4 linked regions of the Saccharomyces cerevisiae S288C genome follow. The gene in region 2 interacts genetically with the main gene of each other region. Each region holds a gene or a part of one and is shown on either strand. Other genes may lie near its edges. The genes, in order: CPR7, HSC82, SGT1 and SKP1.

What was found.
Region 1: mutations in HSC82 (region 2) and CPR7 impair growth when combined (synthetic growth defect), as found in Saccharomyces cerevisiae (6 studies listed by BioGRID, with this or other methods).
Region 3: mutations in HSC82 (region 2) and SGT1 are lethal when combined (synthetic lethality), as found in Saccharomyces cerevisiae (3 studies listed by BioGRID, with this or other methods).
Region 4: mutations in HSC82 (region 2) and SKP1 impair growth when combined (synthetic growth defect), as found in Saccharomyces cerevisiae (3 studies listed by BioGRID, with this or other methods).

What each region holds. Positions count from the first base shown.
Region 1 is NC_001142.9:486,473-494,582, forward strand, and holds CPR7 (peptidylprolyl isomerase CPR7), read left to right. Parts: upstream 1-4,608; coding exon 4,609-5,790; downstream 5,791-8,110. Other genes in the region: Arf family guanine nucleotide exchange factor GEA1, read right to left, coding at 114-4,340; RAV1 (Rav1p), read right to left, coding at 5,906-8,110. UniProt on the Saccharomyces cerevisiae protein: PPIases accelerate the folding of proteins. It catalyzes the cis-trans isomerization of proline imidic peptide bonds in oligopeptides. Plays a major role in negative regulation of the heat shock transcription factor (HSF).
Region 2 is NC_001145.3:630,678-639,807, forward strand, and holds HSC82 (Hsp90 family chaperone HSC82), read left to right. Parts: upstream 1-1,677; coding exon 1,678-3,795; downstream 3,796-9,130. Other genes in the region: RTP1 (Rtp1p), read left to right, coding at 1-1,293; YMR187C (uncharacterized protein), read right to left, coding at 4,012-5,307; mitochondrial 37S ribosomal protein uS17m MRPS17, read right to left, coding at 5,614-6,327; GCV2 (glycine decarboxylase subunit P), read left to right, coding at 6,823-9,130. UniProt on the Saccharomyces cerevisiae protein: Molecular chaperone that promotes the maturation, structural maintenance and proper regulation of specific target proteins involved in cell cycle control and signal transduction such as CNA2. Undergoes a functional cycle that is linked to its ATPase activity.
Region 3 is NC_001147.6:427,877-436,131, forward strand, and holds SGT1 (co-chaperone SGT1), read left to right. Parts: upstream 1-4,309; coding exon 4,310-5,497; downstream 5,498-8,255. Other genes in the region: phosphopantothenoylcysteine decarboxylase complex subunit VHS3, read right to left, coding at 1-1,981; NOB1 (rRNA-binding endoribonuclease), read right to left, coding at 2,371-3,750; ASE1 (Ase1p), read right to left, coding at 5,812-8,255. UniProt on the Saccharomyces cerevisiae protein: Involved in ubiquitination and subsequent proteasomal degradation of target proteins. Required for both entry into S phase and kinetochore function.
Region 4 is NC_001136.10:1,120,091-1,127,531, reverse strand, and holds SKP1 (SCF ubiquitin ligase subunit SKP1), read left to right. Parts: upstream 1-1,513; coding exon 1,514-2,098; downstream 2,099-7,441. Other genes in the region: PEX3 (Pex3p), read left to right, coding at 1-1,262; YSP2 (Ysp2p), read left to right, coding at 2,607-6,923; condensin subunit YCG1, read right to left, coding at 7,299-7,441.

The sequences.
Region 1 (8,110 bases), on a different chromosome or scaffold from region 2:
ATTTAAATGAGATTGCTTATATATCGCATTATTACCTGCGAAAATCTAATTTACGACTCCTTGAAAAAATTCCATCATACTAAGTTTCTTGGTATAGTTACATTATCGTTGGTCTACTCCTTCTCGATTTCCCTCTTAGAAATAATCAACTCTTGCAACTGCCTTTCCACCGTAGGATCATCTACATACTTGTTAAATACGTTAAGCACTCTCAAAAAAGTTTCGTTACTTGTTACGCCTTCCACAAGTTGACCCAAGAAGATTTTAGAAAGAACGGATAAAATGCTAGTAATTCGTTTCATCTTGACATCTTGGATTTCATCCAACTCAAAAATCGGTAATAATCCTGTCTCTAGTAGGTTATCCACCGCAACTTTTTCCGTACGTAGTTGACTTGCTCGAGATAACAGAATGTTCTCTAATGCTTGCAATGCTTGCATACCTAGTTCGTCACAGGGATTGAGGCATTGATGGGCGAGACCTTGAATAGCAGCTATAATCTCATTCTTGTTGAGTGCTGAATTACTCCTCCCAACAGTCGAAAGTAGGTCTGCAGTTATATTAATGGAACGACTAGAAAGATCAATAATAGAACGGTATGGATTGGATTCAGGTGCTTCACACCCATCCTCGACTGAATTTTCATAATTTTGTTCCCATTTTGTGCCAACGGCACCTGCACATGACATTTCATCAAGCAGACTTAATATGTTCATAAAGTTCCCATCATCTACAAAGATATCACCATTTTGAATGTATTTTTCCAAAAATGTGTAGACGGCAAATTGGCGGTCTTTGGCTGATATTAATATCCTTAAAAAATTCCAAAATTTTACATTTTTGAGAGCCCGCTCATTGTATTTTACGTCATTGAGATGTGTAAACAGATCATTTATTACTTGCTTCCCCCATTCACTTTCATAATATTTAGTATTGAAGATTTCATTTTTTACCAAAAAGTCGTGTTCTATTAAATCACTTAAAATGTCCCGTGGATTATCAAATCTCGAAACCAAAAACATTTTATACGAGGCAAGTCTTGCAATAGCCTCCTTGGAAAGGCCATCTAAATTCGAAATATTAATCATATGATCAGCAATTAGTGCTCCAAATTCTTGTCCATAAGAAGCCTCTGATATTAATATAATGGATATTTCCAACAAAAAGAGAAGTTCTTGTTCGAAATAGGGCGAATTTTCACTCGTTTTTTCAATCACAAGTGAAGAGAGAAGAGTTTCAATCATCTTAGGACTGACGAGTTGATTGTTCTCAAAGACTGAACTGAGAGGATGGCTAGCCTTAACGCACTCAAATGCTTTAATGGAAAAATCGATGTCTTCTTCCGAAGGTTCTTCATCGCCTTTCAAGTAAGAGGCGAAAGTAGACAGAAGGCTTCTGCTCATCTTTGCCTTGCGGATCGATATATCTGGATCTGGCAATGGTAGTTCAGGAAGTTTCAAGAGTGAATGAAAGTTTGTAAAAAATGGTAAATTAGGTTCCATCAATAAATTCTCGAATAATTTCAAAATGAGTTGCACAATCTGGTTCCATAGTCTGGTAGAAACAATGCTAGGATCACTTATTTCTTTAATGATTTGAAAGTACAATACGGTACATAACTGAGCCTTAAAGTTTTGTCCAAGTCTTATACTCTGGTTACTAACGGATATCTTCGACCCAGTGTCTTCGACGAATATCTCGACCAAAGGAATACTGTCAACATCTAGCTCCACCGCTTTTGCGCTACTTTGTGCCAATGTTGTCATTTCTCCCAGATGAAGTACAGTATCATTATATGACTGGTCAAAAGAAAAGTAATAGTTGATAAATGTACACTTACTAATGGCGTCCAAGATACGTAATGATATTTGATCACTGGAAGCAACTGTGAATATTTTGAATAAAGTCTTCAGGATAATATCTCTAACATTTGAGAAAATTGCTTTCTCATACTGAAGTATGTCTATTTGCGCTAACTTAGAAATAGGGTTTGTGAAATCTCTTTGCATCTCTGTCATCACAGATGTTGAGGATATTAAGTTATTCCAGGCATCTTCAAACCACCTTTCATTTCCATGATGTTCTTCAGGCATTACTATTTCCTTAACTTTGATGGACGTGTAAATTTTATGCAAATACCAACGAGGAAAATCTTTTCCATTGTAGCATCCTCGTAAATTGTTAGAGTAGTCATCAAAAGTCATATGGTCTTTAACCTGCGGGTTATGTGAATCGGTATTTAACATGATTATCGAATAACTTAACACAAACACAGAGTCTGCATCAGGCTGTACATGAATGATGTCATCTTCTGTCATTGACTCTGAGCCATTTTTTCCTGCTTTTTTATCCTCTAACTCCACTTTATCATTGCTTTGATCAGCAGAATATTTTGATGAAAATGCTTCAACGATTCTTTCAATCTGTTGAGATTCCCCTGGTAATCTGAATTTCGTCAGCAAAATTCTGATCGCTTCATCAACCCTTAACCCTTTAAAATCGAATAGATCTATAAATTCTTTTAACAATGAAGTTTTTTTCGGATCACAAAGTAATAGACCGATGGTTTTCTTATTTAAACGTCCGTTATTGAGAAACAAAAATGAAGCAATGTCTCTATTAGAATCCGAATCAATGAATCCTTTTTCAATTAACATTTGAATGCCTTTCTTTGCCTTTTCATTAAATGTTTCAACGCATAATATGAATTCAGTCTTTCTGTCTCTCTGTTTCAAAATATCAATTTCTTTCTGATTTTTTACGAATTCTGCCCTATCAAATCTCTGCAGATCATTGTATATATTTTCAATAAGCGAAAGTACACCTTCTAGGCAAATTGGAGGAATGTTGTTAGAGGTATTAACGGCCGCCGCTGGTAAAGAAAATTTAGTTAGCTCTTTTATAAAGTCAATCGAAAGATCCGACCTATCCAAATTACAATCGAAATTTACAAAAAGTTGCAAAAAGAAAGCGGGAGAGTGAATCCACAGTATTGAAAGTTGTTCAATAATTAATTCCCTGATTGCAGGTGGTTTTTGCTTACTAACGTCACCACTGATTGTGGTATCCTCTAGAATTTCGAATATTCTCCTTAAAGTCAGTTCAATCTGCATAGGCAAATAATCACCCAATATCACAACCAAACTCGTGAATAATTGTAAAGTTGCTTGCAAAAGAGAATACTGGGTAGAACTTTGTATAATGAATAAAACACTTTTAAATATTGGATCAGAAATTAAGCTGAATAACCGGGGATATAGAGGAAATTTGTCACCGGATATTTCAATGGCTGCATTGATTAACTGTAGAGATAATTTCATGGCCGAAGTTGTGTGCTTCATTCTATTCTCTGGCATAACCAGTGATAACAATAATCCAAGATAATCCTTTATAACTGTTATTCCGTAATTTGGCTCGACATTTTCGGCTTTCTCAGCCGTTTCCTCATCATTTTCCTGTTCCCTTATGACCTGTTGGACTGGCTTCTCATTTTTATTATCGTCTGCAACAGCACTGTCATCATCAGTGCTACTCAAATCGTTATCAGAGGTAGTCGTACCTATAATGTCATCCTTCAAATTATTGTCGGTGTAACTTTCATCATTGATATATTTTTCTGTTTTTGTAGGTGGATCTAGTAACTTCAACTTTGTAAATAGTTTAACGGTTATCCCTGCAATTGTAACTTCAGCCGTTTTCCTCAAAACCTCGCTTCTCTGCGTATTACATGCCAAGGAAAGTGTCGTTTGTAAAACATCGTAGATTATAGTATCGGAGAGATAGTCTCCAAAGGAAGAGGTTATAATATCGCGTAGTAATGTTACAACTTTTAATAAAACAGAGTCGTCCGAAATTTGCTTTGAAGCTTCAAATCTACAATGTGTAAGCGCAACAACGGTTTCCCTAACGGCAATTTGAATATCATTAAATGTTTTGTTTATGATTTTTAGTGTAAAAACTTTCTGCAACGAGTCCAGAGCCAGAGAAGTAGTATAACCCGATACTGAACTAGCGCTGACTATTTCTAAAAATGGTTTCAAAAGTTCCAAGGCGTTTAATGAATCTAAACCCTTCAAGTCGTTAATTTTTAGCCGCAGCTGTACTAAACCAGATATCAGAGGATCATGATAGCTAGAAGTAGGCAAATTGTGGAAGCTGTCAACAAACGAATCACTTTGACTCAAGAATATATCACTACCTCCGCCCAGCAACGCGGCCACACTTGTTTGTGATTTATCTCTGGACTGCTTGTTCATGGCAGAACAAAGATTGATGCACTCTTTGACAATCATCGTAGCTGGGTTCACGGCCAAAACAGTTTCCATTGGCACGTCGTGCATTTTGTATATGAAGCCGTATTAGTTAAACCTGGGCGCTTCTTACCAAAGTTGCGAATTAACTTAACTAAGATGGTTCAATTCTCTGTGTAAAGTATCCATATTAAAAGGTCTTAGTTCCAACATGTAAACAAAGAGATCTATATATTGTTTTTTTTCCAATGCGCTGAGTGATGAAGTGATTAGAAAATCATAAAAATGAGAAACTGCAAAGAAAAAAAAAGTCGTTATTCTGAAAGGTGTTCGGCAGCAACAACCTACATCCAACGCGATGATTCAAGATCCCCTTGTATATTTAGACATCTCCATTGATAAAAAACCAATTGGTCGTATTGTCTGCAAACTTTTTCGTGAGAAGGCTCCTAAAACAACAGAGAATTTTTATAAGTTATGCGCTGGTGATGTTAAGAGTCCTTTGAAGGATCAACAGTACCTGAGCTATAAGGGAAATGGTTTTCATAGAGTCGTTAAGAATTTTATGATCCAGGCAGGTGACATTGTCTTTGGGACACAAAAGGATTCCTCTTCATCGTCTGTTGGAAAAGGTGGATGTTCAATTTACGCTGATAAAGAGGAAGTGAAAACCGATGATGAATCTTTCTGTTACGGGAATTTTGAAGACGAAAACTTGGGAGAGTTTGTAGAACCCTTTACCTTAGGTATGGCCAATTTAGGTTCTCCAAATACGAACAATTCCCAGTTTTTCATAACTACATACGCCGCACCTCATTTGAACGGCAAGCATTCTATTTTTGGGCAGGTGGTTCATGGAAAATCAGTGGTTCGCACTATAGAAAACTGCAGGGTAGATTCTGATGGAGTCCCTGAATCAGACGTTAGAATCAGCGACTGTGGAGTGTGGGAAAAAACTATGGGTGTCCCGCTTTACAACGCTTCTAATGACCAAATTGGCGGTGACGTATACGAAGAATATCCAGACGATGATACACATTTCGGTGACGATGATTTTGGTAAGGCTCTTGAGGCTGCTAATATAATCAAAGAATCTGGGACGCTCTTATTTAAGAAAAAGGATTACTCTAATGCCTTTTTCAAATACAGAAAATCTTTAAATTATATCAATGAATACATGCCTGAACCCGACGTAGACAAAGAAAGAAACATCCAATTTATTAACCTAAAGATGAAAATTTACCTAAATTTATCTTTGGTGCTCTTTAATCTGGAAAGATACGATGATGCTATCATGTATGCTACGTATTTATTGGAGATGGATAACGTTCCTAACAGAGATCAAGCAAAGGCTTATTATAGAAGAGGTAACAGTTACTTAAAAAAAAAGAGACTAGACGAAGCTTTACAAGATTATATTTTTTGTAAAGAGAAAAATCCCGATGACGAAGTTATAGAACAAAGAATAGAATATGTCAATAGGCTCATAGAAGAGAATAAGGAAAAGACAAGAAAGAATATATCAAAGTTTTTCTCCTAATTAGTTACTTGTAAGGCTGAAATTTGAGATTAAATAACCCAATATGAAAACACTACATTAATAAGATGTAATTATTTTTATTTATAAATCCATTTATTTGATAAAAAATATGATATCATACAAAGTCATCTAGTAAGTTCTTGGTAATAGCAGATTTTTTTGGCTTCTGTGGCTTTTGTGATGAAAGATCATCTAATATGTCCTTAGAGAGTTTATCTTTCCTATTTTCTGAGTTGTCTGTTTCACCCACAGAGTCGTTTGGCGCTTTTGGAGTTAAATTCTCTTTATGCTGAGAATATGAAGGAGAGACGAACTCATCCAGTATACTTCTAGGTGCAGAAGAAGAACTTTGAGCGAGGGAATTTGAAGAAGTGCTATTTGGTGGTGGTTGCAAGAAGTCGTCTAATAAGCTATTTGGTAACTTTGGATTAGGTGACTCTATATCTGAAGCACTTGGCGAGCCAAACTTATCAAAAAGACTGGGCCTCATCCTAGCAGTAGAAATTGGTTCAGACGCCATGGCGCCAATAGCAGAATATGCTCTATCCTTGGTGGGGCTCTTTAATAGCTTCTGAACTGGTATGGAATTTCTTTCGATGAACTTCCAATTCTTCACAAGTGAAACCGCCAGGTAATTGCAACCCATTCGGCAAAGAATATCAGTAACTCTTAAGATCAGAGTACACTCGATTTTTGCTTCAACATTTAGAGATCCAATGAAATACTTCAAGTTTCTGTTTCTCAGGTGATTGTATAGATAGAGCAAAGCAGGGTCTTCAACAAGGAATGATCTGTTAACACAGACTTCCTTATCAACAATGCTTGAGTTGTTTTCTAAATCAATCGGAGCAGTCAGCAAAGCTTTAATAGCCACTTCCTGCTTTCTCAATTTCCAGTAAATGAAACTTGCTTTCCATCTATCATTCTCCTTTATTGTTTCAGGTAGCATTTGCGCTGTCAATAGCTCTCCCAACACGGGTCCATTATCACCTTCATAAACACGACATACACCGATTGCCAAATCCATATCATGCACTTGCTTGCAAAGAACGTTGACACAATCTTTTAGAGAGTCAGTTAAGAGAAAGAAAACTGCTGCATCCATATATCTATGCTTACTTAGCAGAACAAAAGCATTTTTGAGTGCTGCCGTTCTCCACCTCGGTACAGTGAAATCATTACTGATAAATCTAACCATCTTTTGCTGCTCAGGATGACCAATAGCCATCTTCCACAAGCTCAATAGTATCTGTTTTTTCTTCAACGCAAGATAAAAAATAGCACAACGGCTTGGATCCCTCTTATCATCTTTGGAAAATTCATATTTTGCAATATCCTCGAATTTCTTCACCAAGTCCTGCTCCTTAATCCAATAGGCTATTCTATATTCTCGAGCGCGATTCCATGAGGTTATGTGGCGGTCAATAGAAGATAATAATATTTCTTTATTGTCTGAGTGCAATGCCCAAGACACATCCCTCATCAATATGCTTTTTTGAATATTTTTATGTGATAAAAATAACTTCACGCCCAACAAGAACCTAACACCGTTGTAATCTACTATATTCTCATTTTTGGTGACTTCATCCACTGCTTCAATGACTGTGATAAGCGTGATCTGCTGGTGGCGGGTTAGATAAGGCAAAGTTGTTTTCGTTAGTTGCTCAGTAAGTGCTAGAGACACTGTCTTATTGAAACAGGGGTATGGATCAGGGAAAGATTCGACCGGATAGTCTCTATCTTTAGCAATAAAGTACTTTAATGGATCCATTCCTAGATTGGAATCCAAATTAGATACATCTTGCGATTCAAAGTCTAATTTTCTTAACGCTAAAAACAATCTTAATAACAGCTCCTTGACAAGTTGTAACTTATTCGCATAAATGGCTTGAATCAAAAATTGTGGATGATAAACTGGAAGTGGACCATTTAAAACACTACTTAAATGGAGAATATCATTTGATAAAATTTTTCTTGAACCAATTGATTGGTACGTAAATGGATCAGTCAAATCCAGAGATTTATCCTTGATGTAAAATTGATTTCCGGAAGCAACAACAAACGTGCCATTTTTCATCCATACGGAGTCACCTATATTATGAGCTGTATGTGCTGTGATATCAATTTTTTCAATAGGTAGGTAACTAGGTGTGTTGTTCGTGTAATCATACCTTAATTGAGTATAAAGTAAAGCGTATCCTGTAAATCCGATAGAGACAATGCTTTGGCCATATTCCGTGCTTGTCCAATCTATATCCTCGATAGGATTATGAAATGTTTCTTCGTATTCAAGAACTCCCCTGTTCAGGTCCCATAGTGA
Region 2 (9,130 bases):
TTTTTAGATATTCTGAAAAGATGGGTCCATCATACAAAAAAAAGTGAAAAAAGATCTTCCGATAATCATAGCGGGATGCCAAGCGTTACAGATAACGCGTTAATACTCATGGACTTGAAACTTTTGGAATGTATGAACAACCGATTTAAAACCAAGATTGTTAATAAACCTAAGGACGTTCTTATTGTTATTGATCAATTGATAGATGTTGTTCAGGAAAAAGATGAAACAATACAGGAAGTAGAAGCAGATTCTGACGACGAAGTTGAAGAAGGAGAAGAAACAGAAGAATTGGATCCAAATGAAAATTCTTCCTACAAAATTATCTTGCAGTTATTATCAACCGTCCTTTCAGAATCGTCCAGTAGTATATTATTGCAAAACAGTTATATATTGAAATCCATTTCTAGAAAATTACAATCTTTCAACACTAATGCTTCCGAAATAGATGCATTATTGGCATCAATAGATAATATATTGATTAACGGACATACTACGGAAAGGAACGACAACATAGAAATTGAGATGGATGAGGAAAGGCTTGACAAAGCGATAACTAGTCTACATGATCCTTTAGTGCCCATAAAATCTTATGGTTTAACAGAACTACGTCATCTAGCTGAAAAGAAGTCTCCAGTAATTTCACTGGAAAAGGTGTTGCAAATACATTTAGATTATTTAAAGAATATGGACCCTTTCATTTATCTCAACGTTATTAAAGGACTTACAACGCTATGTGAATTAGAGCCAGAAACCATATTGCCTCTACTTGCAGAATTTTATGCTAACAAAAAAAAGAAAAACAGATTAGATGATGTGCTGAAAGTTGGAGAAGTGTTCATCAATTACATTCAACGTCAGAACGAATTGTTCCAGGGTAAATTGGCTTATCTGATTATAGATACCTGTCTTAGTATTGTGAGGCCAAATGATAGTAAACCATTGGACAATAGATGGCGTATGTCATCCATGTCAATCTTAGGTATGTGCCTTCAAATCAACGCCAGGGGTGTCTCGGATAGAATTCGCGATATGCTGGATTGTGTATTTGGAATATTGCAATTAGAACAACCACAAAATCATTTGAAGGACAAGGATGATTCTTTTTTGATGAGAAGAAGTGCCGTACACTTGATACATGATTTGTTGTACAGTACAGGATTTGATTTACTTCCCTTTGAGTACAACTACGATAAGCTAAAAACACTATTATCTTACGTTCGTGATCAAGATGAAGATTACATGGTTTGTGAACAGATTGACAAGCTTTTAACCGTACTAGATAGTTTATAACCCATTACGCATTTGATTATAATTTGCTTCTTAGGCAAAATTAATATTTACGTTCTTTTATATTCTTTCTTTTTGTATTCATAGAACAGCAGCCATTACCAATAGAAAGTTAAAATAGCCGCCGATGCATTTTATTACCCGCCTTTCTGTTTTCTGGGCACTTTTCTTTCTAGAAGGTGAAAGAACAATTTTTCTCGTTTTCTCGAACTTCCACCAAGCGTTGGGTAATGAGGGAGGAGATTTGTATAAAAAGAGTGGCATGTGAACTGCCTACCGTAAGTGACATGAACACATGCATTATATTTTTTGTGATATATTCTTTCTCTTGTTTTCTTTTTCTTGAAACGCTACAGAACCAATAGAAAAATAGAATCATTCTGAAATATGGCTGGTGAAACTTTTGAATTTCAAGCTGAAATCACTCAGTTGATGAGTTTGATCATCAACACTGTCTATTCTAACAAGGAAATTTTCTTGAGAGAACTGATCTCTAACGCCTCCGATGCTTTAGACAAAATTAGATACCAAGCTTTGTCTGATCCAAAGCAATTGGAAACCGAACCAGATTTGTTCATTAGAATCACCCCAAAACCAGAAGAAAAAGTTTTGGAAATCAGAGATTCTGGTATTGGTATGACCAAGGCTGAATTGATTAACAATTTGGGTACCATTGCTAAGTCTGGTACTAAAGCTTTCATGGAAGCTCTATCTGCTGGTGCCGATGTATCCATGATTGGTCAATTCGGTGTTGGTTTTTACTCTTTATTCTTAGTCGCCGACAGAGTTCAAGTTATTTCCAAGAACAATGAGGACGAACAATATATTTGGGAATCTAATGCCGGTGGTTCTTTCACCGTTACTTTGGACGAAGTTAACGAAAGAATTGGTAGAGGTACCGTCTTGAGATTATTCTTGAAAGATGACCAATTGGAGTACTTGGAAGAAAAGAGAATTAAAGAAGTCATCAAGAGACATTCTGAATTCGTTGCTTACCCTATCCAACTTCTAGTCACCAAGGAAGTCGAAAAGGAAGTTCCAATTCCAGAAGAAGAAAAGAAAGACGAGGAAAAGAAGGATGAAGATGACAAGAAACCAAAATTGGAAGAAGTCGATGAAGAAGAAGAAGAAAAGAAGCCAAAAACCAAAAAAGTTAAAGAAGAGGTTCAAGAATTAGAAGAGTTGAACAAGACTAAGCCATTATGGACTAGAAACCCATCTGATATCACTCAAGAGGAATACAATGCTTTCTATAAGTCTATTTCTAACGACTGGGAAGACCCATTGTACGTTAAGCATTTCTCTGTTGAAGGTCAATTGGAATTTAGAGCTATCTTGTTCATTCCAAAGAGAGCACCATTCGACTTATTTGAGAGTAAGAAGAAGAAGAACAATATCAAGTTGTACGTTCGTCGTGTCTTCATCACTGATGAAGCTGAAGACTTGATTCCAGAGTGGTTATCTTTCGTCAAGGGTGTTGTTGACTCTGAAGATTTACCATTGAATTTGTCCAGAGAAATGTTACAACAAAATAAGATTATGAAGGTTATTAGAAAGAATATTGTCAAGAAATTGATTGAAGCCTTCAACGAAATCGCTGAAGACTCCGAGCAATTTGACAAATTTTACTCTGCCTTCGCTAAGAACATTAAGCTGGGTGTACATGAGGACACTCAAAACAGAGCTGCTTTAGCTAAGTTGCTACGTTACAATTCTACTAAATCTGTCGATGAATTGACTTCCTTGACTGATTACGTTACTAGAATGCCAGAACACCAAAAGAACATCTATTACATCACCGGTGAATCTCTAAAGGCAGTCGAAAAGTCTCCATTCTTGGACGCCTTGAAGGCTAAGAACTTTGAAGTTTTGTTCTTGACCGACCCAATTGATGAATACGCTTTCACTCAATTGAAGGAATTCGAGGGTAAAACTTTGGTTGACATTACTAAAGATTTCGAATTGGAAGAAACAGACGAAGAAAAAGCTGAAAGAGAGAAGGAGATCAAAGAATACGAACCATTGACCAAGGCCTTGAAGGATATCTTGGGTGACCAAGTGGAGAAGGTTGTTGTTTCTTACAAATTGCTAGATGCTCCAGCTGCCATCAGAACTGGTCAATTCGGCTGGTCTGCTAACATGGAAAGAATCATGAAGGCTCAAGCCTTGAGAGACTCTTCCATGTCCTCCTACATGTCTTCCAAGAAGACTTTCGAAATTTCTCCAAAATCTCCAATTATTAAGGAATTGAAAAAGAGAGTTGATGAGGGTGGTGCACAAGATAAGACCGTCAAAGATTTGACTAACTTATTATTCGAGACCGCTTTGTTGACTTCTGGTTTCAGTTTGGAAGAACCAACTTCTTTTGCATCAAGAATAAATAGATTGATTTCTTTAGGTTTGAACATTGATGAGGATGAAGAAACAGAAACCGCTCCAGAAGCTTCTACCGAAGCTCCAGTTGAAGAGGTTCCAGCTGACACCGAGATGGAAGAAGTTGATTAATCTCTTTTTTCGCCTTCATGTTTTATATATTATATAAATTTGTTTACTTATTTTTACTATTTGTAATAATGATTCTGCTTTACGCGCCTTTAAAAAAGTTGGTCTTAATGTAAACATGAACCATAGCACACAATTTAAGACATCAGCTGTCAAATGACCATAAAATTGTCCTACCAGCTGTCCTTAAAGTTTAGTGTACACTTACGAATGACTTATTTACTCACCTTTGCAACTTTGTTCAATAAATTCATTGATCTTTTCAAGTTCCTGACATCTTTTGTAACTGGCATAGAGCTTCAGACTTGACCAGCCTATAGCAGCAGTACCACAACCTATAATATTGAAAATCATTCTAAATTCCGAAGGGGAGCAATTCGGCGTCCATTCAATTTTAAACTTTCTCTGTATCCATAGAAAAGCATTCAATAGAAGACCTCCTGTACATTTACCAACAAAGGGCCATAGTATCTTTTCTGCAAGAATAGCATACCAATTCCGCCTGATAAAAAATTCCTCAGCTGGAACGCTATTACTAGAGTTTTCAAAATTTCCGTGATACAAATACTTACCTCCTTTATTGATCAGCCTCCTGTAAATTAAGTCAACCAATCTTTTAAAGGTAAAATTATAGCAAAATGTAGCCAAGTTAGAATACAAAATTATTTTAGGTAAACCTATACCCTTGTAATATTTGTTTCCAGCAGTTTTTACAATACTGAGATACACCCACTTAAAGAGTATTGCATTAGCACTGACGTTAGAAATGTTGCTAAGATAATGTATGAACCCATATATTATGATCGAGGAGGTTAAAGGAATGCTTAATAAGCCACGTTCAGTTTGCGCATATACGTCCAATGCCTTTGTAGTGCTGATGTTTAACATATTTCGTAGAACATTCTCAGGGAAAAGGCAGCGTAGTTGCCATAATCCAATGTCAAAACTTGTCTTTTCAGGGTTTAAAAGAAATAAACTAGTTATCCCTAATGGTATCACGTATCGTGTAATTTTTTGCCACTGATAAAACAGGGATAGTACAGAAGACTGGATGGTTACTGTAGGTCTTTTTATGAAATTTGTTTTCTTGCATTGAGGACATTCGCCAAATTTCACTAACACATAAGGTGGATGATTATCCCGTTTGGTATAAAGAGACATTAGATTGAACACGTAGTCATTTTGAAACGGTACTGATTTTTGCCCCCAAATGGGACGAGTTTCCCATATTTCTGTAAGAGAGAAAGTCGTCATAAAATCATGGTGCCCATCAACGAGACATTTTAAACAGGTGATTATAGGTAAATCAGCATCCTTTGGTAGGTCCACTGTGTTCGGAAGAAAAAGTTCAACATGCATTTGATAGAGCCATCTTATATAGCAGCGTTTATGAATTTGTAAGTTGCAACCGCACGTGTGCTGTAGCCATGTAGAGTCATATGTGGATTCTTCCAAACATATCCAGCATATGCATCTTTTTTTTATGAGAGATAAAAAAAAATGAGGTGGGGTCATATAAAACTTGGACTATTTCCTTGGAATTTTCTTGTTTGTAAAATCAGAGCAGAGCTCTTTTATTTACTTTTGTTTTTGACGATGGGGACGAGCGATGTACTCACATCTTCGATATCACTTGCCTGAAAATATATAAATGCGTTAAACGATAGAAAATCAAAAACATCGTTCTTTTCACTAGAATATTTTAAAGTCAAAACATAACACTTTACTATTTACGTAACGAAGTCTTGTAGTTGTATATATTTACAGAGTGTAGTGCTTTAGTTGAGAAAATATGACACTCGGCTTTCCTCTTTCTTTTATTTACTGGCTTGGTTGTTGCATATCCATCATGACGTGCTTTCTTAACAAATTTTTTTTGATGTTTTTTTTCAAGGTCAAAGGATCCTCAACACCATGATCCTTCAAAAATTGATCACATTTTAGATCATTCGACAACAATTCGGATAATCGCGTTTGAATACGATCAATGAGACTTCTTTGTTTCTCCAAATTAACCTCCAATCCAGAGATGTCTAACTGTAAAAGTTGCCTCACTGTTTCTTGTGAAAAATCTTGAATGCCGTACCTTTGTTTAATCTCCAATAACTCTTTCGGCGTTGACCCGCTAGATAAAGCATCTTGGATGGTCCTAATATCACGTAAAAGGGTTGTTTTTTCATTTAGTTTATTCTCCCTCACTGATCTTTTATCCAAAAATTCTTTTGCCTTTTGGGCTTCTTCTTTTGCAACGCTTAACTGAGCTTCTGATTCGTATAATGCAAATTGTTGACCCTTGTTTCTAATAATTTCTGCAATGGCAAAAAACTTCCTCTTTGAAAGCGGCCTCGTCGCTTCTATCCTTACTAAATCACCCTCCCTTGATATTTCACCTTCATCATGCACTAAATAATCTCTTCTATGAAATAACTCCTTGTTGATTTTCTTATTAAAGACTTTTGTTTCTACACGTACTTTAACCGTCTTTTGCATCTTCCCTTGGGAGACGACCAAGCCTAAAAAATTTTGGCGAGCCATTACAGTTTAACTGATCTTGATTTGACTTTTGAAATCTCTAACCCGAATTCAACTCCCTGAGTTTACTTCTGTTTGGCCTTATTTGTGGATTTCCTCTAACAGTTTGATGCTCGCATTGGTTTGGCACAATCCCAAATTGCTTCAGAATTCTAATCTTATGAAATAACAATCATGTTACCCGGTTGAATCGTTACCCGACATCTCTGACTCTTCTTGAGGTATAGACTCCTCCTTTTCGGAGTCATGACTCTCAGAGGAGTCATCGAAGTCAGCATTGAGCTGTGAAGGACCTTGATAAGCTAGTCGAAAGATCTCCAACGAATATAAATGGATGTATATATAGCAGGCTCGAGTGGCACAATTTTCTTCTCTTCAAGTTCCAGTGAATTAGTCTTTCTCGTGTGTACCAATCTTACTGTATTGATTGCTGCGCGATCTAACCATCAACTAACCACAGTTTATTGGAAAAACGTTTCCTAATACCAGGAAGATAACATGCTTAGGACAAGAGTGACTGCTCTCCTTTGTAGGGCTACTGTCAGGTCAAGCACCAATTATGTTTCATTAGCGAGGACTAGATCATTCCATTCTCAATCTATTTTGCTCAAAACAGCCGCTACAGACATAACGTCTACACAGTACAGCAGGATTTTCAATCCTGACTTGAAAAACATTGATAGACCGCTAGATACTTTTGCTAGACGTCATTTAGGTCCTTCTCCTAGCGACGTTAAGAAAATGTTAAAAACAATGGGTTATAGCGATTTAAACGCATTTATAGAAGAGCTCGTTCCTCCCAATATTTTGAAGAGAAGACCCTTGAAACTAGAAGCTCCTAGTAAGGGATTCTGTGAACAAGAAATGCTTCAACATCTAGAAAAGATTGCCAATAAGAACCACTATAAAGTTAAAAATTTCATAGGTAAGGGTTACTACGGTACGATTTTACCACCGGTTATACAAAGAAACCTGCTAGAAAGTCCAGAATGGTATACTTCTTATACGCCCTATCAACCCGAAATTTCTCAAGGTAGGCTAGAAGCGCTATTAAACTTTCAAACGGTTGTTTCAGATTTGACTGGTTTGCCTGTGGCGAACGCCTCATTGTTGGATGAGGGTACAGCGGCTGGAGAAGCTATGCTCTTGTCATTCAATATTTCCAGAAAAAAGAAACTAAAATACGTAATAGATAAAAAATTACACCAGCAAACAAAGAGTGTCCTTCACACCAGAGCCAAGCCGTTCAATATTGAAATTATTGAAGTTGACTGTTCGGATATCAAGAAAGCTGTGGATGTTTTAAAGAACCCCGACGTATCTGGTTGTTTGGTTCAATATCCAGCGACAGATGGTTCAATCTTACCGCCTGACTCGATGAAACAGTTATCTGATGCGTTACACTCTCACAAGTCTTTGCTCTCTGTGGCCTCAGATTTAATGGCTTTGACACTTCTAAAACCACCTGCTCATTACGGTGCTGATATCGTCCTGGGTTCCTCTCAACGATTTGGTGTCCCAATGGGTTATGGTGGTCCTCATGCTGCTTTTTTCGCTGTTATTGATAAATTAAACAGAAAAATTCCAGGTAGAATTGTCGGTATCTCTAAAGACCGCTTAGGCAAGACGGCCTTGCGGTTGGCCCTCCAAACAAGAGAACAACATATCAAGCGTGATAAGGCAACTTCAAATATATGTACCGCTCAAGCTTTACTGGCTAATGTTGCTTCGAGCTACTGTGTTTATCACGGTCCTAAGGGCCTACAGAATATTTCCAGGAGGATATTTAGCTTAACATCAATATTGGCAAATGCCATCGAAAATGACAGTTGCCCTCACGAACTAATTAATAAAACATGGTTTGATACTTTGACTATAAAGTTAGGTAATGGCATATCCTCCGAGCAGTTATTGGACAAGGCCTTGAAAGAATTTAATATCAATTTGTTTGCCGTGGACACCACCACTATTTCCTTGGCTCTTGATGAAACAACTACAAAAGCTGATGTTGAAAATCTACTAAAAGTGTTTGACATTGAAAATTCTTCGCAGTTTCTTTCTGAGGACTATTCTAACAGTTTCCCAAGGGAATTTCAGCGTACTGATGAAATATTGAGGAACGAAGTCTTTCACATGCACCATAGCGAAACAGCAATGTTGAGATATTTACATAGGTTGCAATCTCGTGATTTATCTCTTGCTAATTCTATGATTCCTTTAGGTTCCTGTACTATGAAATTGAACAGTACTGTTGAAATGATGCCAATCACTTGGCCCCAATTTTCGAATATCCATCCGTTCCAGCCATCAAACCAAGTCCAAGGATACAAGGAACTAATTACTTCGTTGGAGAAAGATTTATGCAGCATTACAGGTTTCGATGGTATTTCTTTACAACCAAATTCAGGTGCTCAAGGTGAATATACTGGTCTGAGAGTAATCAGATCCTACCTGGAAAGCAAAGGTGAAAATCATCGTAACGTGTGTTTAATCCCTGTATCCGCTCATGGTACAAATCCGGCTTCTGCCGCTATGGCGGGTTTAAAAGTTGTTCCTGTCAACTGTTTGCAGGATGGCTCATTAGATCTGGTTGACTTAAAGAATAAGGCTGAACAACATTCTAAAGAACTAGCCGCCGTAATGATCACCTATCCTTCCACTTACGGTTTATTTGAACCAGGCATCCAACATGCTATTGATATCGTACATTCTTTTGGTGGACAAGTCTATTTGGATGGTGCTAATATGAATGCGCAGGTTGGGCTAACTTCACCCGGAGATCTTGGTGCAGATGTTTGCCACTTGA
Region 3 (8,255 bases), on a different chromosome or scaffold from region 2:
CATCGTCTTCATCTTCGTCTTCGTCATCTTCATCGTCGTCGTCGTCGTCGTCATCATCGTCGTCATCATCGTCGTCATCATCATCATCGTCGTCGTCGTCGTCGTCGTCGTCGTCGTCGTCGTCGTCATCATCGTCATCATCATCATCGTCATCGTCGTCGTCGTCATTATCTTCATCTTTACCACCAGTATCGTTCTTCTTATTATCATCCTCCTCATCGTTATCTTCATCCTCTTCTTCTTCCTTTCCCGCAGAAACATCGGGATAACCACCTAGTTTGACGACTATCTTGCCAACAATCTCATTTGCATCCATCATCCCACTTAACCCGATGTCACCGTTTATGCCCATGACTTTTTCTGAGGGTTTAAATACAGTTACCCAAGGCATCTCTTCTTGAATAATTCGAAAATGTTTTTTAGTCATTATGGAATTGAACGTACCGCTACCCATTGAAGGCGCTAGGAATATGGGAAACGTTGGATTCCATGCCCTTATTACACTTGTCAAAAGGTTGTCACATAAACCAAGGGCAATCTTGGCCAACGTGTTTGCGGTTAATGGTGCGACAACTAGTATATCTGCCCAACGACGTAGTTCTATGTGTAATACAGGATCAGTTCGTTGTCGCCATACATCCCACTCGTCTTGGTCTGTCCAAAATTGTATATGTGCTGGCAGTTCAATTTGAGGATGTTGCGATACAACGTTTGAAGAGTTGCTGTACGTACGACTACCACCAAGTGTCGAAGGAAATCCAGTAGTAGAGGCCATTTGTTTTTCTTCCTCCTGTTTATTATTTGTCTGAGAAGCCGCTGAGTTTGAAGACGTCTTCTGAATGCTAAATTTTTCAAGAGAGGCTACTTTTTTCTTGTTACCAGTTATATTGCCAGCATTAGAATTGGTGCTGTTGAAAGAAGTATCGATACTATTGTGTTGTTTCTTATTTTTCCTCATATACTTCATTGCAAAAAATTTGGTTGCTGAGTTAGTTAGTATAACTTGTATGCATATTTTGTCCCTTCCGTAAATTTCTTCTAATTTTCTGATCATGTGCTTGAGTTTGAAAACAGACAAAGAACCTGTTGCCCCAAAAAGAACGTGTAGCTTGCCGTCATCTTGGGGAAGCCTTGGATCCATATTGGTCATAATATTTTCTCTCTTCAAGGGATTTGAGACTGCATTGGGAGACATTGCTTCTTCCAAGACAGACTCCAACAATGTGGGCTCTCCAGTCTTTGATATGGAGCCCTCTCGTTCAATGTTGATGGGGTTAAATGTATTCACTACCACAGAGGGGCGAGGACTAGTACTGTTAGACCTTGATCTAACTGATGGGGTGTGTAAAGGATCTTCCACGTAGAAATGTGGGTGCTCCTTTCTGGGGCTATCGGAACTATTGTCAGAGTTTAAAATAGAATCTGTTCCACCGGTGAAACTTAGCTTTTTAGCCAGCAGGCTGGATATGTTATTCCCCATATCAGCATTGGAGAGAATAGAGGTTGGAGTCGAAAAAGAAGAAGCAGAAGCCTCGCCATCTTTTGGTACTTTTGTATTTATGTCTTTCAAGTTTCTTCCTTGATTTGCACCCTCCGCTGCGATGTGTACAGACGTTGCTTTCTTTTCGCTGGACTGTCTGGCCACCTGGTTAGGTGGAGTTTGCTCCACATCCGACCTGAGACTACCCAACTTTGGATCGCTGAATGTAACAGTTGGTATCCTTTTTAACCCTGGCTCTGGTGTATTACTTACAACTGCCCCAGAAGTTCCGCTAGCATTCATGATTGACTTAGTTTGTGAACCAGTGGGACTAGTTGATTTCCTTACTACAGGAGTGTCCAGACTAGAAACGGAAGAAAATGGTCCCGTAGAATTTGTGTCAGGCATTGCCGATGAACCTATATTGGCCTGCTCAGCTCCAGAGAGAGTATTCGAAGCAACCCCTTTCCTATTGTTCTTCAGGCTAGATTTGTTTGTCATTGCGTCTCTGCACTATAATTATGGCCAGTATTCCTCTTTCTGGTCTCTTCTTTGAACTAAAGTAATCTTATAAAAGGCTATCCTTTTTTTGGCAATCTAGTATTAATCCTGATCAAAAAGTCCTCAAAACGAGCCCTCTTCAAAGTGCTGTAACACCATTCATCTCATAAGGGGAGGGCATACTGAGCAATAAAACGTTTTCTTACCTTTTCGGTCTTTTGGACTCTCCAACCAGAAAGTTAAAGGGCAAAAAAGCTCACATGACACGCTTGTTTTGGAAAACGTCATAGAAAAACCACGTGAAAAAAAAAAAAAAAAAAAAAAAAAAAAGAAAAAGAAAAAGGGCAGCTGCCAACTAGTACACACTACACAGATATTTATGAAAAACACTAACTTCTCCTTTTGGAACTGTTGACGTACCTTCCCTTACCAATGCGGACGTTATGCTGCTTCAACCCAGTAATTGCAAATGGAGAAATATAGTTATCCGCAGAACCGCCACCAATCCAATTGTTTAGAATCTTCTCGTTGTGTCTTCTTGTCCATTCTTCTTGCTTTATCACCTTTTCGTACTCCTTTTGATCTTCTCTGAGAATCACATTTTCCTGTGGTTTAGAATGTACGTGTCCCTTTTTGCCGTACCTTTTTTGGGAGTTCTTAGATAAGGGGCTGGCTACAGAATATCTGTTTCCTCTATTGTTCCATTGGAAGTTCGACTTCAAGTGCGGTGTAACGTTCCCCGTGCGTGAGTCAACGGAAACTGCGCATCTTAATAAGGTACCCTGTCCACCGCATGAGGCACAGAAGTGCTTTGGCTTGCCGTCTTTTGGTAGAGGAAATATTTTGAAACAGGCGTGGCATCTTAGCATATAATTACGGATTCGCTTGATTTTCAGACCTGACATGAAATTCATTAGATTTAGATTCATCTGCAACGCTACATTTTGGACGGCAAAATCGCCAGTCGCCAATGCCACCTGATTCTCTGGTCGATTCAATGCGACATGGCGATCCTCTTCGGACGCTTCTACACCCAATGAACCAGTGGTATCTTCACCACTATCCTTAATAATTGCTTCTGTTAAGTTCTCGGGGGTAATCCAATCACCATCATCATCAGCATCCTCGAATACTTCATTTAAATCGGAAGATTCCTTTATATTTTCATCATTACATATCTGCTCTTTGGATCCAGCCTCCTCAACATGTTCCTCAGCTTTACTCTCTAGCTCAAGGTTTGCATTTTCAGCTTCTCTTGCTTCTCTTGCTTCTCTTTTTGCCTTTTGCTTTTTTCCACCTCTTCTCTTGTTCTTTTTTTTTGGAACACTTTCAGAGTCCTCCTCCTTTTTATTATCTTCTGTGAGCTTCTGTTTGCCGTCCGTACCAACGTCAGCCTTGGACGCATCTAATGCATCACCTGGTTTTTTCCTCAGTCTCCAATCGCCATTATTTAGTTTAATTTCTAACTCGTATGTCAAAGCAAGAATATGCAAATCATTGGCACTCAGTACGGAGTAGTCACCGGTCAATTTGGCGAACGTACTTACTTTGGCTATCGAGTTTTCACTTGGATGTACTAATTTCAAAGTTCCGAGGCTCTGCCAAATTTCAAGGTTTTTCCTTGCTTGAGCATCCTTAATTTCTTGAAAAACTGTGGGAGTAGTATAAAAAGACTGTGCATAATTCTGGTAATGTGTGTAGGACTGCGTAATTAATGGGGTGGCATCCAATATCAACGCCCTTACATGTGCGGTTTGGTTTTCGGTCATATTATGCTCCTTTAAAGAAACTTTAGAAAAATACTGAACTATGATCGCCGATGAGATTTATCTAGCGCTGACTGAACGACCTCTATGTTAAGAACATACTTGAGATAATGGTGCTGTTTCTCCATGTAGACTTCTTCTTAGCAGGTAAAAATTTGCCAATGCAAAACAAAGCTCATCGAAAAATTTTGATCTTGCATTATGGAATGTCCGGGTTTTTCTATTGAGACATTCAAATTTTGAATTCTTCTTCAATAGAACCAGGCTCAGCACAGATACAAGAGAAATGATAGTAGATAATACCGCCATAGTGCTTATGCATCATCTGCTAATTCTTTTAAGAATGATCTTCTCAGTCTTACACTGACGAGCACTATATTGATGACTTTGATCACTATAAACGAAGCCAATATAAGCACTTTAGGGTGTAAGGTCTCAAGATGAGTTGATCATATGCGATATATCTTTGAACGCTAATAATTGAACGAAAGCACTATGACAAAGTAATGGCAGAAGTCTTTTAAGGTTAAAGAGGTAGTTGTTTTAAGGAAACGAAAAAGAAATGCCTGTTGAAAAAGATTTAAAAACTGCCTACAAAGCTTTGTATGATGAGAAGGAACCACTGAAGGCCCTCCATCTTTATGATGAAATTCTCAAAGGCTCACCCACAAATTTAACGGCTCTCATTTTTAAGGCAGCATGTCTTGAAAAGCTATACTTTGGGTTTTCTGATTGGCACAGCGATGCAACTATGGAAAACGCAAAGGAACTTCTTGACAAGGCTCTAATGACAGCTGAGGGTAGGGGCGATAGATCGAAGATTGGTCTTGTTAACTTTCGTTATTTTGTTCATTTCTTCAATATCAAAGATTATGAACTGGCCCAATCTTATTTTAAAAAAGCCAAGAATCTTGGTTACGTTGATGACACTTTGCCTTTATGGGAAGATCGTCTGGAGACAAAATTGAATAAAAAAAATAAAAAGCAGAAGGATTCAACTAATAAGCATACAATTAAACCAGTGGAAAGTATTGAAAACAGAGGAGATAATAATTCTTCTCATAGTCCCATTTCACCTCTCAAAATTGAAACCGCTCCTCAAGAATCCCCTAAATTTAAAATCGATTGGTATCAATCCAGCACCTCTGTCACTATATCATTATTTACTGTTAATCTTCCTGAGTCTAAGGAACAAGTCAATATATATATTTCTCCAAACGATAGAAGAACTTTATCGATATCGTACCAAGTACCGAAATCTGGATCTGAATTTCAATACAACGCTAAGCTTTCGCATGAGGTGGATCCAAAAGCAGTGTCATTAAAAATTTTCCCAAAAAAGCTGGAAATTACCTTGAGCAAAATTGATAGCACGCAATGGAAGAAGTTGGAAGAAGATATTTTAACGGAATCCTCAAGGTTATCAGATGAGGGTAAAAATTCTGATTCTGCAACCCGCTTATTATCAGCAGAAACGGCATCAAAAGAGAGATTGTCTTATCCATCGTCCTCTAAAAAAAAAATAGATTGGTCTAAACTTGACATTGATGAAGAAGCTGATGAAGAAGCGGGATCGGCTGATAGTTTCTTTCAAAAGCTTTACGCTGGAGCGGATCCAGATACCAAAAGGGCTATGATGAAATCCTTTATAGAAAGTAATGGTACTGCATTGAGTACAGACTGGGAAGACGTATCTAAGGGAACGGTTAAAACTTCACCACCAGAAGGCATGGAACCTAAACATTGGTAAATGATTAGTATATACCTACACAATTACAATATGTAGATATATAGTATGGTAGTAATGTTACATTTTCGATTTAGACTAGCCAACCTGCGTATTTACTTGGAATGCTTACATGATTATATTGAATATTACAAATTTTATTATGTCCATATTAATCCAGAGTCACGGTGCAATGGAAAAAGGAAAGGGAGAATGATAGAATAAAAGAAGGAAAGAAAGAGACAATGTAGCGAAGGCTAGAAAGTGATGTGAAAAAAAAAACCACAAAAAAAATAAATAAGAGATCAGAGGGTTAAATGAATGCGCTTTTAAGAAATTCAAATATCTGTAAAGGAGAATCCATTCAATTTCGAAACTTGCTCATTTTTCCATGTAATAAAATCCTTATCATTTTCATCTTCCATCATACTGGTATCATCAAATCCGCTTTCAATATCTTTTTGTTGAATGTTTAATTGAAATTTACCTTCTGGCGACATGGAAAGTTTATATATGCTGTGCTCAGGTTCTTTATAAGGACTGCTCAATTTTTGTGCGTAATCTTCTAATGAGCTTTTGCGTTCCGGGCTTCGTACATTCTCCTTACCCGTGGTGCCAGTCGACCTTTTAAGAAGTTCTAAAGCCTTTTCTTTAGTTAATTGAGGGATATGACTACCCTTAGTGTCGACTTTGTTCAGCGGGATAGGAAACAATTGGCGTGGTTTTACTGCATGTTCGCCATGCGTATGATTTATCCTAGGCGATGATGAAAGATCGGATGATCTGTTTCTGTTTAAGGTAGGTCTCTCTATATTCCCTTTGGAATTCCTAGATATTACTGTGGGTGCTAGTAATCTTGTTGCTCTTCTGTTCGGACTAGATAACTTCGTTGTTCCTTGCATATGACGAGCAAGCGAGTTCTCTTGGGATAGATCATTCTTTGTTAAGCCTTGTATTGTTTTCTTTGAAGGCGTTTTATAAGTAATGTTGGCATCATTTAAATTCAAACCAATCGGTACCCTGATGGAACTTTCTGTGGCCTTGAAAGTGTTTTTTATGACTTTATTCTCTTTGTTCGCACCACATTTTCCCTTTTTAGATCTCTGCATTCTAACTCTACATCTTGGATATTTTGCTTCGATTTCCTGTTGCTGAATGTCAATTGCTTCTGAAAGTGGCTTACCTTTGAACAAAAAAGGTTGATCAAATAGACCATCGGCCTCTTCTAATTTAATTCTTAAATCATTGATGACTCGAGGAAAGTGTCTTGTTATCCTTTTCCTCATTTTTTCTTCAGTTAGTAATATCTTATGAGAATTTCTAGACAAAAGCCGTGAAGAGTCTTTTGAACTTCTTTCCAAAAATTCTTGATCTTCTTGTAAAGATTCAAAATCTGATATTAATTTTAAAATTGGCTTATAAAGGGTCAGTTTTTCTTCTAGTCTTTTTAGCTCATTTTCGCAAGTTTCTAGAAGAAGCTCATCTTCCTGTAAAGTTGTTGCACTGTTCCTTAGTTCTTCAAATACAATGATGAATTTAGACCGACTTTCTTCTGAATACTGTAACGTACGCCACAATTCCTGAATTTTGTCCCAGGAATCTGATATAAGTTTTTTTATTAGTTTTTTTTTCATTGCTTCAAGTCGCATAACTTCTTTAGAGATTCTACCTAAGGACTCGGTTGATAAACTTGAATTGTTACGCATAAAAGTCTTTATGTATTCTTGAGAAATTTTTAGCCTTGTCCAAAGTTTTTGGCATTGTTCCATCAGGAGCCTCTTTTTGTCTGCTCTTTCCTTATGGATAGCTTGCAGTTTTTCCAATGTAATATCAATTTTAGACATTCTTTCTCTGTCTACCGGGTGGAAATTTGGTATTTCTGATGTGGAGTTTTCCTCTTCTCCATATGATCTTAGATCTTGTTCAAAATCTTCACCGATTAACGTTGCTAGGGGAGTTCCAAGTTGTTCACATATTGATGAAATACTAACCTTTTTTGTGAGTACGCTTTTAAACCTCCTCTCGTATTCTTCCTCGTAAATTTTTATGACTTCATTCATGTGTTTCACAGATTCTTCGTTAATAGTTTTAAATGCCGATCCCTTTAAAATATCTTTTCTATTATCTATAATAAATTTCATGGACAAACCAATATCGCCTTTACCATTTTCTATTTGTAACAAATATGCGGTTAATGTGCTTAATTCTGGAAACTCGGCGATAGCCTCGTTATCTGCTTCTGTCAATCCAGGAAGGTTTTCTTTTACAGATTGTATGAGGTGTTTTAGAGTGATTAAGGATTTTAAATAGTCGCGGAGCCTGGGTAAAAAACTTCCTAGGACAAATTTTTTTGCTGTATCTAATGCTGCTTTTTTGCTTAGTAAGGAAAGTGGCTTTTTCGGTGACTGTGGCACAGTTTTACTTTCTTGCAGTAGAATAGCATTTCTAATGTATAAGTCAGGAATAGTCTTTATGCCACTTGGGTCATTTATTCTCTCTAGAATGTTATTTAGAATATCCTGTTCAATTCCGTTCTCTGCGGACAGTCTTTTCAATTCTTCGTCAGCTTGCTCAAAAAATTGTTTTATGGAATTAGATATAGTGGTGAATATGATTTTCTCCTTGGTGATAATTTCCGTATTAGAATACCCAATATTTTGATATATGACATTGAGATTCTCCAGTAATTTCTCTAGATCCTTTGAAATAAGAATGAAATTTTCTCTATACATATTATCCATTGTGTTACCTTTACCATTTTCTGAGTCTAAAAAATGGTAAT
Region 4 (7,441 bases), on a different chromosome or scaffold from region 2:
TGACTGGAATAGCTGCTTTATTTACCACAGGGTCGGTGGTAGTGTTTTTCGTGAAGAGATGGTTGTATAAACAGCAGTTACGGATTACTGAGCAACACTTCATCAAAGAACAGATCAAAAGAAGGTTCGAGCAGACACAGGAAGACTCGTTGTACACAATATACGAGCTACTTCCTGTATGGAGAATGGTTTTGAATGAAAACGATTTGAATTTGGACAGCATCGTTACCCAATTAAAGGACCAAAAGAACCAGTTGACTAGAGCAAAGTCTAGTGAAAGCAGAGAAAGTTCGCCGTTAAAAAGTAAAGCTGAGTTGTGGAACGAGTTAGAACTAAAGAGTTTGATCAAGCTGGTGACAGTGACGTACACAGTATCGTCGCTGATTCTTTTAACAAGACTGCAACTAAATATCCTGACAAGAAACGAGTACCTGGACTCCGCAATAAAATTAACCATGCAGCAGGAAAACTGCAACAAACTACAGAATAGGTTCTATAACTGGGTTACATCGTGGTGGAGCGATCCGGAGGACAAAGCGGATGATGCAATGGTAATGGCAGCAAAAAAGTCAAAGAAAGAAGGCCAGGAAGTGTATATTAATGAGCAAGCTTTCCTATCACTATCATGGTGGATTCTTAACAAGGGGTGGTTGAGTTACAATGAAATAATTACAAATCAAATCGAAATTGAATTTGACGGCATACACCCAAGAGATACTCTAACGTTAGAAGAATTTAGTTCTCGTCTCACGAACATATTCCGGAACACGAATTCCCAAATATTCCAGCAAAATAATAATAACCTCACGTCTATTTTGCTTCCTAAAGATTCCAGTGGACAGGAGTTTCTTCTGTCACAGACGCTTGACGCGGATGCTTTAACAAGTTTTCACTCTAACACACTAGTTTTTAATCAATTGGTGAATGAACTGACCCAATGTATCGAAAGCACAGCAACATCCATAGTGTTAGAGTCTCTAATAAATGAATCATTCCATTTCATAATGAACAAGGTCGGCATAAAGACAATAGCCAAGAAAAAACCTGGCCAAGAAGATCAGCAACAGTATCAAATGGCAGTTTTCGCTATGTCGATGAAAGACTGTTGCCAAGAAATGCTTCAAACAACTGCCGGGTCTTCCCATAGCGGCAGCGTGAACGAATACCTGGCCACTCTGGATTCTGTGCAGCCGCTCGATGATCTGAGCGCCAGCGTATACAGCAACTTTGGCGTCTCCAGCTCGTTTTCCTTCAAGCCTTAATCTCTGAATAAGTACTGACACTCACACCAGAATATATATATATATAGCGTAATCTTTAATACAGTAAGTGTGCAATAGGTAACATGACATTACCCTGCAGCGATTTAACGGGCGTCTTGGAGAAAAGAAGAGAAAGGGAAGAAATAGGTTGATATATTGAGGGCAGAGAAAGTGATAGCCCAACGTTGGCAAAGATATAACAGAAAAGACGTTATAAACAATACAGGAATACTAACAAACGTAGCGCAGATATGGTGACTTCTAATGTTGTCCTAGTGAGTGGTGAGGGTGAACGATTCACCGTAGACAAGAAAATCGCGGAGAGATCCCTGCTATTGAAAAACTATCTGAACGATATGCATGACAGCAACCTACAAAACAACTCAGATTCAGAATCAGATTCAGACTCGGAAACGAACCACAAAAGCAAAGACAACAATAACGGTGACGACGACGATGAGGATGACGACGAGATTGTGATGCCCGTGCCCAATGTTCGGTCTTCCGTTTTGCAGAAGGTTATCGAATGGGCCGAGCACCACAGAGACTCTAACTTCCCTGACGAAGATGACGACGATTCCAGAAAGAGTGCTCCCGTGGACTCATGGGACAGAGAATTCCTGAAAGTGGACCAAGAGATGCTATACGAAATTATTCTGGCGGCAAACTACCTCAACATCAAGCCCTTGCTTGACGCTGGCTGCAAGGTGGTTGCTGAAATGATCAGGGGAAGGTCTCCCGAGGAAATTAGAAGAACGTTTAATATCGTCAACGACTTCACTCCAGAGGAGGAGGCTGCCATTAGGCGTGAAAATGAATGGGCTGAAGACCGTTAGCCTACATTTCCTCTGATGACTGTGATCCTTTCTTCCGATGATAATGCGCCATTTCAGAGCAAGATAGGCAAAAATAAGCAAACAAGGCTTGCTGTCATGCAATGTGTACGTTAGTCCACCATAACCAAGCATGTATGAATTATATATGTATACAGTTTACATAAACTTCAAACTACAATAAGATGTGTGGTCCATCGTCGTGTGTAGCGATAGGCGTCTTCTAAAAGCCGCAAAAGTGACAAGAAGAAAAAAGGAAAATTATTGAGTTATAAAAGCTATTGTTTACATGATGAGACGGGATAAATTTAGGACAGATAGCTGTAAACACTCCGTTTTGAATCATATTTGTGAAATATTTGGTCTAAATTTTAAGTCAAGTTTATTTTCTTCGAGCATTTCAACACCAGCTTAACCCTTTGCTTTAAATTATTCATCTAAAATAGGGTATATTGATTGCTAATCACATATAAATATATAGAAGCAGCAGCTGTACAGATATCCCTAACCAATGAGGGATGAAGCTACTCGCAAAAAAAGGTCATTTAGTGATGGTCATTTTTTCAAGAAACTGAAATTGATGTCAAGGAAAAAGCAACCTGTTATGGAAAGAAGTAAGACCACTCGTACAAGGAAGGAATCTACCAATTCCGCAGCAAAATCATCCCTATCATTAAGAAGGGCCAACAATGGCAGAAAGACCATCGCTAAGAGAAGAGTACTGACCGACATAGGCTCTACTAATGAAGGTGTTGCCGGTAACTCTGGTTCAAACTCTCCTGCTCAATATTCTCATACTCCTCATTTTAGTGATTCTATCCCACCACTGCCTTTAGAGCTACCAGATATCGTCTCAATAAGGAGTAGTAGAAGTCATATTAGTAATAAGAGTAATAAGAACAAACATGGTATAGACTTGACTTTCATACCTCGAAGATCGCTACAAAATTCTAAGGCTGGCTTGAAGAAACCGAATACTTCTCCACAAGGTTATTTTAATATTCCAGTGACTATAGATAGAGCAAGTGAGAAAGTCAAACATACTGATACTAAAAATACATTCAATTCTTCGTCTTCTGAGAATGAACGACCAGTTTTGAGCATCTTACAGAAGGATGACTCTCAAAGTTCTTCGCACCCAGCTATCGATTCAATGTCAGCACCCAATAATATTAACAACAATAACGACATTGAGAATTCTTCAAACAGTCTATTTGATACTATTCTATCAATTGCTCATAGTGCCATATCTCATGTCCCTAAAATTTCAGCCTTAAATACTGAGATACAACGTGAATTTTCGCATTCAGGTGAAAGTCATACAGGTTCAACTCGCCATCCTTATTTCCATATCCACCACGCGCAGCAGCAACATCCCTTGTCACAGCAACAAGGGCCCTTACCTGTTTCCGAAAATGCTAACCAAAATCCCAATGACACAGTGCTCATTCATTCCCCCTCCGCTAACACAGCCCACCGCAGTTCATCATTTTTGCGTCATTTAGATTATTTACTATCCCCCACTTCTGGTCCAGCCTCTGATAAACATACTCAAGTAGAGGAAGGGGATGACGAGGAAGAGTTATCGCCTCTTTCCAAAGCATTTCTTTCACCATCAACTCAACTGGTACCTACAAATACATCGACTACGCCCCTTTCAGGTTCTTTGACACCTAACAATAGAAACGTAAATGCAAACTCTAACTCTGAAACCGAGAACGACAATGATAGGGATGATAGATCAAATGTTGGCAAAGTGAAATTTCAGCCCTTGAAAGTACACGAGCCTGCAATCTCAACCTTTGGTAAAGGCAACTTAACTTTAGAGGCAGTGGCAGGATCCTCTGATATTGATAATACAACTATTGATCTGGACGAGAATAATACCAATAATAATCCAAATGCAAGTTCAACAAACTTGAGTCATATTAGCAAAAGTAACGTAAACAATAATCTCGGTCCAAAAGAATTAAACACAAGTTATCGTAATAGTACCTATATCGACATGGCAAGGTTTGAAAATTCACAATCGAACCTTTCTAGCCATAGGGCAAGAAGTAAGACACTGCCCGCGAACAAAGCATTAGAGAATGCCGTTGGTGATGAAGGTAATAGTAAAAGAAATTCAAGATATTCTTCTTATTCAAACGATATGGCCTTTGATGATGCCGACGAAAGAAAATTCAGAAGTATGTCCAAAAAATTCTTAAACAGGAGATCTTTTTCACCTTCGAACTTAGGCAATAAAGTGATCCCTGGAATTAATTTAAGAAATTCATTCAACAAAAATAGGAATAGTAGTTCTGATTTCTTTAGTACAAATCAGGGACAGCAAATGCCAAGAACAAGTACTGCGGGCTCAGGTAATATCCATGCAATAATGGGTTTGGATTCTGGCAATGATGATTTCAAGTTAGAAGGTATTGAATATGCTTCAGAAAAGAAAAACAGCGAATTTCATACCCTTTTCAAGGACTGCGATATTAATCCTAACGAAAAGTTAATTGTCGATCATAGTTGTGCACTATCTCGTGATATTCTTTTACAAGGAAGGATGTATATATCTGATGCACACATTGGATTTTTCTCAAACATTTTGGGATGGGTCAGTACAGTTTTCATTCCGTTTAAGGAAATCGTTCAGATTGAGAAAAAGACTACCGCCGGAATTTTCCCCAATGGTATTGTAATTGATACGTTGCATACAAAGTACATCTTCGCCTCTTTTATGTCAAGGGATGCTACCTTTGATTTAATTACAGATGTATGGAATCAGATCATCTTAGGTAAAAAATATAGGAATGGCTTCGGTAATAATGACGACGGTACGATAAGCGATTCGAGCAGTGCATTTTTTGATGATTCCGATGACAATGACGACGATGGAGACCTGGATGACGATGACCCTGATATTAATAGCACAGATATGACATCTAGTGACGATATTGATGCTGATGTTTTCAATGAATCAAATGATCTTGGTAAAAACCAAAAATCTACGAACTACTTATTGGGTCCCAATAAACACTCTCCAACCACTGCTGATTTCAAACCTTCCAATAATGATCATTTGGTTATTGAAGCAAATATTAATGCACCATTAGGAAAAGTAGTAAATCTTTTATACGGTGAAGACGTCTCTTACTATGAAAGGATCCTTAAAGCTCAGAAAAATTTTGAAATATCGCCAATCCCTAACAATTTCCTCACAAAGAAAATTCGTGACTATGCATATACGAAACCGTTATCAGGCAGCATTGGTCCAAGTAAAACAAAATGTTTGATCACAGATACTTTAGAGCATTATGATTTGGAAGACTATGTTAAAGTGCTCAGTATTACCAAGAACCCGGATGTTCCTTCAGGGAATATCTTTTCAGTGAAAACTGTTTTCCTTTTCTCTTGGGATAAAAACAACTCCACCAAATTAACAGTTTACAATTCTGTTGATTGGACTGGTAAAAGTTGGATCAAAAGTATGATTGAAAAGGGAACATTTGATGGTGTTGCGGACACCACAAAGATAATGATATCTGAAATTAAGAAAATCTTAAGTGATGAAGACTCAAACATAAACTCAAAGCATCAAGCCAGCAATAATGAATCAGAAGAAGAAATTATTAATCTGCCAACTATTGGACCTCCAGTTCATGATCCGACGGAACCTGATTTTCAAAAAGGAAAAGACGATACAGTTATCGATGAAAAAATTAATATACCAGTTCCTTTAGGAACAGTGTTTTCACTATTGTATGGTGATGACACATCATATATTAAGAAAATCATCGAAAACCAGAATAACTTTAATGTTTGTGATATTCCAAAGTTTGTGAATAACGCAAGAGAGATCACCTATACCAAAAAATTGAACAATTCATTCGGTCCGAAGCAAACTAAATGTATAGTCACAGAGACCATCGAGCATATGGATTTGAACAGTTTTTTTATGGTAAAACAAATAGTCAGATCTCCGGATGTTCCTTACGGTAGTTCATTTTCAGTACATACGAGATTTTTCTATTCCTGGGGTGATCACAACACAACGAACATGAAAGTTGTCACCAATGTTGTCTGGACAGGTAAATCAATGCTGAAAGGAACCATTGAGAAAGGTTCAATTGATGGACAAAGAAGTTCAACAAAGCAACTCGTAGATGATCTCAAAAAAATAATTTCTAATGCTAGTTCAACGAAGAAAAAATCGAGGAGAAGAGGAAAGACGGTAAATAAAAGGAAATCATCACCATCCACTATCAAGAATGAGAAGAATGAAGAAAACTTCGAAGATACAAGTACCAAAAATTCATTTTTTTCCGCTTTCTCAATGTTACAACAAGTAAACATAACATCCGTTCAAGGAATTATGACAATTATCTCTTTTTTTATTTGCTTGATTTTCTTCTTTAGATTATTATTCCATTCTAAGAATACTTCGAACATCCAGATTATTACTCCAGGAACAATCTTAATTAATGGAAATGAATATAATTACGTTCCTAATTTTAAAACACTCTATCATGTTTACGAAGATAATATTATAAAAGATGCCCGCCGTAAAGACTCGAATAAAAATAACATAGTCACCGATACGGAGGGTCTCATATGGGACTGGTTGATAGATCGTGGAAATGGAACCGTTCAAAATAGTGTCTTGTCCAATCATATTAAGGAGAGTAATAACAAGAAGGTTAAGCTCGTAAATGGAGTTAGTGATCATAAAATACAGCAGCTAGTTGAATCTATAAAAATCACCGAATTGCAGCTGCAAGAAATGAAAGAATTATTGGCCCAAACGGATAACACGTCGGCTACTAACCAATTACTTTGATAAAATAACATTTTTCGTTCTAATATAGTCAAGTAGGAAAATTCTACTCGACTTTATTTTGTTCTTTTGATCTTATTTCTTTTACTTTAATTATATATAGGATATTTTCTTAGGATAATTGTAATAAAATGCATTAATAGTTTTATATGTCCATTTCTGGTGCATTACTGGACATAATTTCAGTTCCTTTCACCAAAGAATTTATAGCCTTGGAATATTTCCATAATTTGTCCCACCGGGTAATGTGCGTAATGCAATAACATATAGCATCTATATCTGGTAAGCGTAGAAGAATTAACAAACCTAAGAATAAAATACAAATATGTTTACAACCAAAAAATCAACTTAAATAGATGAAGAGCTCGCATATCAATTTTAACAGACCTCGCTGAAAGACTCTGAATCCTTATCTTCTTCATCTATGGACATTGCATCTGATTTCTCGTCAGGTAAAACAAAACTTACATTTTTTGCTACAGTTGACGTGTCTTGAATACTCATGTTTTCCAGGTTTTTGG